Saccharomyces cerevisiae S288C: one gene and its partner. The protein of the gene in region 1 interacts with the protein of each later gene in a biochemical or structural test. Each region holds a gene or a part of one and is shown in the gene's direction. Other genes may lie near its edges.

The links.
Region 2: of the proteins of LFT1 (region 1) and FMP48, one has a biochemical effect on the other in vitro, tested with the Saccharomyces cerevisiae proteins (one large-scale study listed by BioGRID).

Annotation. Positions count from the first base shown.
Region 1 is NC_001145.3:203,109-207,855, reverse strand, and holds LFT1 (Lft1p), read left to right. Parts: upstream 1-2,447; coding exon 2,448-3,470; downstream 3,471-4,747. Other genes in the region: AMD1 (AMP deaminase), read left to right, coding at 1-1,428; CGI121 (Cgi121p), read right to left, coding at 1,563-1,652, 1,759-2,214; YMD8 (Ymd8p), read left to right, coding at 3,753-4,747.
Region 2 is NC_001139.9:591,926-595,972, forward strand, and holds FMP48 (protein kinase FMP48), read left to right. Parts: upstream 1-1,670; coding exon 1,671-2,780; downstream 2,781-4,047. Other genes in the region: YGR050C (uncharacterized protein), read right to left, coding at 161-517; MCO32 (Mco32p), read right to left, coding at 3,061-3,912.

The DNA of each region.
Region 1 (4,747 bases):
TTGAACGAATATCAAGAAACTAGCGTTTCCAAAAGAAACCCACACAGGGATTTTTATAATGTTAGGAAAGTGGACACTCACGTTCACCATTCTGCTTGTATGAACCAAAAGCACTTATTACGTTTCATTAAACACAAATTGAGACATTCCAAAGATGAAAAGGTTATTTTCAGGGACGGGAAACTACTAACTTTAGACGAAGTATTCCGTTCTTTGCATTTGACTGGATATGATTTATCCATCGATACTTTAGATATGCATGCACATAAGGATACATTCCACAGATTCGATAAATTCAACTTAAAATATAACCCTATCGGTGAATCTCGTCTCAGAGAAATTTTTTTGAAGACAAACAACTACATCAAGGGTACCTACTTGGCTGACATTACCAAACAAGTCATATTCGATTTAGAGAATTCAAAATACCAAAACTGTGAGTATAGAATTTCTGTTTATGGCAGGTCTCTCGATGAATGGGATAAACTAGCTAGCTGGGTGATTGACAACAAAGTTATTTCCCATAATGTTCGTTGGTTAGTCCAAATTCCGAGGTTATATGATATTTACAAGAAAACTGGCATTGTTCAAAGCTTCCAGGACATCTGTAAGAATCTGTTTCAGCCACTATTTGAAGTGACCAAAAATCCTCAGTCTCATCCAAAATTGCATGTATTTTTACAGAGAGTAATTGGGTTTGATTCTGTCGATGATGAATCCAAGGTTGATCGCCGCTTTCATAGGAAATATCCCAAGCCATCACTCTGGGAGGCTCCTCAAAACCCTCCTTATTCCTATTACCTGTACTATTTGTATTCAAATGTCGCGTCTTTGAATCAATGGAGGGCTAAGAGAGGGTTTAACACTTTGGTTTTGAGACCACATTGTGGTGAAGCCGGTGACCCCGAGCATCTCGTTTCAGCATATCTATTGGCACATGGTATATCACATGGTATTTTATTGAGGAAAGTTCCATTTGTTCAATACTTATACTATTTAGATCAGGTTGGTATCGCAATGTCACCCCTTTCTAATAACGCATTATTTTTGACCTATGATAAAAACCCATTTCCGAGATACTTTAAAAGAGGTTTGAATGTCTCACTATCCACAGATGATCCTTTACAATTCTCATATACCAGAGAACCATTAATCGAAGAATACTCAGTTGCAGCACAAATTTATAAATTGTCTAATGTAGATATGTGTGAATTGGCAAGAAATTCCGTGTTGCAAAGTGGGTGGGAAGCACAAATCAAAAAACATTGGATAGGGAAAGATTTTGACAAGAGTGGTGTTGAAGGTAACGATGTGGTTAGAACAAATGTTCCTGATATTAGAATTAACTACAGATACGATACATTATCAACTGAACTGGAATTAGTTAATCATTTTGCCAATTTCAAGAGAACCATTGAAGAAAAGTGATGGTTATACGCGCACATGTATATAAGGAGAACTTTTGGCAGTTCGATACACTGACTTCACGGAGAACAAATAATACTAATCTGAAAAATAATCAAAGAATTTTTTTTATAATTTTATCGTTAGATATCTCTTATCTACACACCCCTCAATTGAATAGCGTCTACCAAAGCTCTTGAGAGACCATTTACGTCTTGGGGCTTGAAATCATCACTTAATTTATAGATCTAATAGGTAAAAACAAAATAAAAGGAAAACAAAGGTGAAGTTAGTACAATGTGTTTCTGGTGAGGCTGTTGAAGTTTTTACCTCGAATTTATTATTAAAACATACTTTTCTTATGAGCGCTTCGTCATAAAATCTCGATAAATTGTCATCATTAAACTCGATCTCTTGTCCTTTTACTATAGAAGTCATAATCGTCCTCAATTGCTCTTTGTCTACATCGTCAGTATTAGTATGGAACTTAAGGCATATTAACTGTGACGAATCGTCTTTGATTCCGAATTTGAGGAAAGCATCACTAATATTGGAAGTGGGTGAAAGACATAGTACGCACTCGGAATTCAAATTTCTTGTTCTCATCTTGTTATATTTCACTTCTATTAAGGTCTTGTAAATTGCAGAATACATCTGCTCCCCCGAACAGACTAACCGGGGGTCAATAAAGGCAAAGGATGTCGACAATTCACTCATTTTAGAGCGTATTTCTTTAGCATTTTTAACCTGTTCAAACAATGCTAGTGAAACCTTGATATCAGGAAATTGCGGTATGATGGATACTACCATGATGATTGTATAATGGGCAGCGACGACGTATATTTGGTTATATCGACAAATTTGTTGACCGATAAAAGATTGTTGATGTATATTTTGGTTTGCAATTGAAATTTTCGCGCAAAAGATTAAACATGAAATATTGAAATCAATGGTATTAATGATCAACGAATATTACAGATCATCAATTAAAGAAACAAGCATTGTCAGAATCTAAGCTGGTTATTTTTTGGGAAGGACAAATTATGGACGAAAACAAAATAATCGACCAGTTGTTCAGTAAGGAATACACACCGCAAGATGACTCCGAGCAAGCCAAAAATGGAGATGTGTCGTTATATGGGTTATTAGATGAAGTAGCGAACGGTAGGCGGTTGATGAACTGTTTGTTTCATTCACCTATGCAAATGGGGAATAAATTGAGTACCGACAAACTTGATGGGAAATGTCGGCAAATACAAAGAGATTGGATTGATGAGGAAAAAACCATAACTATGAATTCTGGCGCTTTACAGCTGGATGGGCCAGTTCTATTTTCCTGGAGTCATAATGTAGCACCTACTTCTCATCAAGAAACTATAAATACAACCTTCAAGCAGGGCTCTCCGAGCAGAGGAAGCAACAAGCCCAAAATTACTACTACCAGTCAGTTATTTGATAGAGCTTCTGCTGAGATTGATAAGTGTATAAAGCCCAATAGCAAAAGTTGGATGGTGGAAGAAAGATTTGAGAGAAATGAGGCACATACAGCTGATGGCAAGAAACCTTCTACGTGGGCTAATTCCGATTTCAAAGTGGACCCGCTACAGAAATTCGTTGTTAAGGAATTGCCCAAAGAAAAGAAGAAATCAGACGGTGATAAGACAAAGAAAAATAAGTCGAAAAGGAAGAGTTTTTTTGGATTTTGGGGCCATTCTGGTTCTAAATCAGGTTCAAAAAAGAAATCCGAAAAGCCTATAGAGGCCAAAAATGAAATTCAGGATGAGGTAAGCCAAAAATCTGGCCTATCACCTGACGATGATACAACTTTCAGTGATAAAAATACCATCCAATCAAAGCAAGAGAGTATGAGTGATCAACAAGCTGAACCCAAAGTACACGAGCCCGCAGTTACTAACACTGGATGCAGTGAACATGATGATGGTGATGGATTTGAACAGGTACCTGCACAATCTAGTTATCATCCATCCAGCGAGCCCAGCATTGCCAGCACTCCTTCATTAACTCTAGATTCATTCATCCCATTACAACCAAAGAAGAAAATATAATAGATGCTTGTAGGCTTCAACATCTATTAGAGTCATCGGCGACGAGACGCCAAAAAATAAAGCGCAAAATAATCACACCCATTTTTTTTGTCGAGAATGAGAAGGAGATGGCTTAGAACTGGAAATATAAGGGATAGTGGCATCACGAGAAGCTGTTGTTCTGTTTTTTTAAAGTGTCAATTGGCCTGATTATACTCATAACTGCATTTTCATCACTTCCACGATCACTTGAAGTTGTTACAGCGAGTGTTTATACCTTCAATTCTCGTGTCACATTTTGCTATGAATAGGACTGTCTTTTTGGCATTTGTATTTGGATGGTATTTCTGTTCAATAGCTCTCTCCATATACAATAGATGGATGTTCGATCCGAAGGACGGATTGGGTATTGGGTATCCCGTGTTGGTGACAACATTCCATCAGGCTACTTTATGGTTACTATCCGGCATATACATTAAGCTCAGGCATAAGCCAGTGAAAAACGTTTTAAGAAAGAATAATGGTTTTAACTGGAGTTTTTTTCTAAAATTTTTACTCCCTACGGCAGTCGCTTCTGCAGGTGATATCGGGCTCAGTAACGTTTCCTTCCAGTATGTTCCCTTGACAATTTATACAATTATCAAATCTTCGAGCATAGCTTTTGTCCTTTTATTCGGCTGTATCTTCAAGCTAGAAAAGTTTCATTGGAAGTTGGCACTTTCAGTAATAATTATGTTTGTTGGTGTAGCATTAATGGTTTTCAAACCAAGCGATTCCACCAGTACCAAAAACGACCAAGCCTTGGTCATTTTTGGCAGCTTTCTTGTCCTAGCAAGTAGCTGTCTTTCTGGGTTAAGGTGGGTTTATACGCAGTTGATGCTTAGGAACAACCCAATTCAAACTAACACCGCTGCAGCAGTAGAGGAATCTGATGGTGCCCTTTTCACGGAAAATGAAGATAATGTCGATAATGAACCTGTTGTTAACCTCGCCAATAACAAAATGCTGGAGAATTTTGGAGAATCCAAGCCTCACCCAATTCATACAATCCACCAGTTAGCTCCTATAATGGGCATTACTCTGTTGCTTACCTCGCTACTTGTGGAAAAACCATTTCCTGGTATATTCAGCTCTAGCATATTTAGGCTTGATACGAGCAATGGCGGTGTCGGCACGGAAACTACCGTCCTATCCATTGTGAGGGGTATTGTTTTGTTAATTTTACCTGGTTTTGCAGTCTTTTTGTTGACAATTTGTGAGTTTAGTATTTTGGAGCAAACGCCCGTGCTGACCGTATC
Region 2 (4,047 bases), on another chromosome or scaffold:
CGAGACTAATATATATGTTTAGCGAAAAAAAAGGCCAAAAAAACTAGTAAATATACAAAGCAGAGTATTTTTGGCTCTTGTCCACATTGGATAAGAGAATATTTATTTTTCACACAGAAAAAAAAGTTATATACGTATCTCTAAGAAAGTCAAAGACAAATTACGTAGAATGTGATTCATTCCCATTTCGCCCGTACACTCTCTGTCTCTGTCTCTGTCCCAAACTTCCCTTCCTATACGTATTCATAATCTGCTTAAACGTCAACAGTAGTTTCGGAACATCTTCATACGTAGGGAATACGACTTTTTTCTTTTCACCTGCAGCTTGAGCCAAACTAAAACTGGGATCCGGATAAACTATTAATAAAGGATCGCAAAGTCCATACGCCAGTTTAATGGGAATGAAATGATATTGCGAAGTGACGTCAAGAATCGACTTTAAGCTATATCCGAAGTCAAGAAAGCCGAACCTTACATGCGGTCGGAAAGCAAACGAGGAGATTAGATTGGTTTTCATATCCGCTAAATTTTCTTTTGATTTTACTTTGGCTTAATCTAATGCATGTATATCGGAAGAAGCAACCGATCTGGCCCAGTTGAGTCGTGCTACCTTAGTCATGCCCAGGAAAACCGGATTCCTTCTTTTCATTATGACATCCGTTTAGGTCAATAGGCTTTTTTTTCTCTCGCCCGTGCCTCTCCGTGTTCGATGAATGTGCAGCTTGCCTCCGAGCGGGCGAGCCACCTCGAGCGGGTGACGAAATAGTGGAAAAGAAACGGGGAAGCAAAACTGTGCTGTTCTGGCCCGCAGCGGACGAACGTCATTAAAGGCGCTCCATTTCTGTCGTGAGGGTCTTTCGGTGCGGTGGTGAGGCTGCGTAAACAAGCTTGCTCTTCATACCCCTCCCGTGGAGCTAGTTCGGAAGGACTATTGGCGCATCTTCTGTTGAGAGGTTCCGTAATTCTCCGTAACGTCCCGTTCACCACTTTGCATGTGCTCTCACGTACGGCCGTCTCTTTTCGGCCTTCGGCCCGTTCCGATTTTTGTACCCCTTACGTGCTTTGAATTCTAGAAGGCATCTCCTCTCCGATGGCTTGGTACAGGGAGCACTAGGGAAATTGCACATGGAAGTATCTGGAATACAAAGTTTTTGAAAAGAAAAGCCGAGCGTAATATTGGGACAATACCCAGTTCTCAGCCTTTTCAGCGCGGGTATGAGACAGCTTGCAACAGGTAAAAGGAAGTTAGAAGGGTTAGGTGAAGGGAACGATGATGCTGCCTGAGAACAAAAATGCAGCTTCATGTTACATACAATAAAGGAAGGATAATTAAGGGGACCATGCAATAAGGGACAACTTAATTTTGGAAAAATCGGAGCTTAGTTGCATCTACCTACTAATACTTTCCCCAAAGAATAATAATACGAGTACAATACATATATATATATATATATAATATACACATGTAAGTGATGACTATTCTTAATACAAAAAAATTTCCCTTTTATAATAACTATTCTTAGCATTAAATAACCCGTTACTGACAAAAAGCATATAACATAGGACTCAAGATCGACTCTCATACCCTCCGAATCAAATTCTCACTCGTATACGCAATCATTTAAATAAGCACATCATTATCAGCATATACCGAATAATAAAAAGCAAAAATGTATACAAAACTAAGATCTATACAATCAGGAACATTTAGCACAGTTTATAAAGCATGGAGTACTACACATAACCGCTACGTCGCTTTAAAGATTACTCCTAAATACAAAACTTCAGAAGCCAACATGAAGAACGAGTATGATGTAATGAAGATTTTGAGTTCTTGTAATCCTCACCCCAACATCTGTTCGATGCTCGACTTTTACACGGATGACTCGTACTACATCATGGTGCTAGAATACTGCGAATGTGGTGATCTTTATGACTTTCTAGATATTGCTAAGAGTCAAGGTAGCCCGTCGTCTCCATCTTTGATTCAAATTGATATGCAAAAGATAATCAAACAACTGTGCTCAGCAATCAGCTTTGCTCACAGCTTGGGTATTGCTCATCGTGATATCAAACCAGAAAATATTTTGCTAACGATAAATGGTGACATCAAGTTGGCAGACTGGGGTCACGCTATCCAATCCCCTAAATCTAACGACTTCCAGATTGGTACCGATAATTACAGGGCGCCAGAAACTTTCTCTGGCCGCGTTAGTAACTCTTGTTTTAAGAAGAATTTCGATCGGTCATCGGCTCCATTGTATAACACATACCAAGCTGACTATTGGTCATTGGGTGCCACCATATTTTATCTGATGTTCGGCGATTGCCTTTTTAGAGTCTCCAAATCAAAGAAGGTTCAGCATCTAAAAAATTTCGATGAGTTTGAAAAAGATCCATTTGCATTCATTTACAGGAAATACGTAGTACCAAGGCTCTCCTGTGGTTACAATGATGAAGAAGACCTACACGTTAGCCTGCAGCATACGAGGCAGTACATATGGCAAGATCTACCCGACATTTATGATGTCTTCCATTTGTGCAAGATTATGGTTGATACCTTATTAAAGGTATCGAACGCTAAAGAGAGGTCGATGGAGAATTTCATCAATGAAGTTGATTCTGCATGGAACAAAGATAGCTCGATGGACAGCTGCTTCTCGTACCAAAATAAGATTGATCTGTTTTGGGAACAGTGGTCTGTGAACACGGAAACAGTACCAGCAAAGTTCCAATTGAAAAATTTTGAGAAACCTTGCCTAATTCAAGATGGAAAATAAGAAGTAAAAAAGACCTTTTGAAAGTTTCGCCTCATTTTCCTTGATCTGACTTTTTATCCCCTGCTTATCCAATTTTAGTTAGGAACTTTGGCATAATTTCAGTATTACATACTACCTAATCGACATAAAATAATATTACATATTCATTTTTTTAAAAAATAATCATAATCAATTTATCCTTTTTATTCCTTTTTTCTCCTGTGCAAGGTTGATGGTGATGTTTATGATGGTGTGTTTATTATTTACAAATAAAGATGCTATCTAATTCTTGTATATCGTATTAACATGCAAATGCACCGCGAGTGGCAATTTTCTTCTCGTAATGGATCAGTTCAACATCTTCAATGGTATGAACCAGAATTTTCGAATTTTCTTCGTTAAATTCGAATATGAATGTTCCCTTAATCAGCCGGGATAATCTCTTTTTTTTACTTCTTTTACCGTCGCCATCATTTTTCTTCTTCTCATCTTCTTTGGAATTTTGAGTTTCGTTGACCTTATTTTCCATTGACCTTTCAGCTGCATTTTCAAGGTACTCAGAGATAACACTTTGGTTCAAATTATTGGCTGTAGGATGTAAAATGTAGTCTATGACTGGTACCGACCTCATTGAAAATGAACCGCCTGCACCATTGCCTCGTTTCTCCTCTTTCAATCTGTCATTAATTTCTAATTTGGTAATCTTGCAATGGTCTTCCGGTATGCAGCTTTGCCATTTGATCACCAATTTGTCATTACATGTTATGGTATTATAACTCTGAAGAGCAGATTTAACTTCTTCATCATGCGATGTCGATGTTAGAGTCTTTACTGAACTTATATGCAAGCGACATTCATCGCCCAAGATAAACTTTCGTACTATCATTCGCATTGCATTCAAAGAAGCCATGTATTTTGATTTTCCATGTAACACTGGAATATATGGATGCGATGTTGGAAATAGTCTAAAAACAACGTTATCCGCCAACACTGACTCCTTGAACATTTTTTGTAACAAATTGGGAACACCTTTAACCACTAAATAATCTGTTATTTGCCCCAAATTGGCCACTTTTTGAGAATTGGAGTACCATCGAGGAAAGATTCCTTTGATAGATATTATGCCGGCTCTGCAAACACACTTTAGTAACATAAGTCTTTCCCCCTATTATCTATGAATATAAACTGTCTATCTTTCCTTGGTTGTGATGTATCGTTTTCCGTAGAGGCTTGCAGCTTTATGGCTCATACCTGTCATCCCTCTTTATGGGCCTTTTAAGGGCGCTCT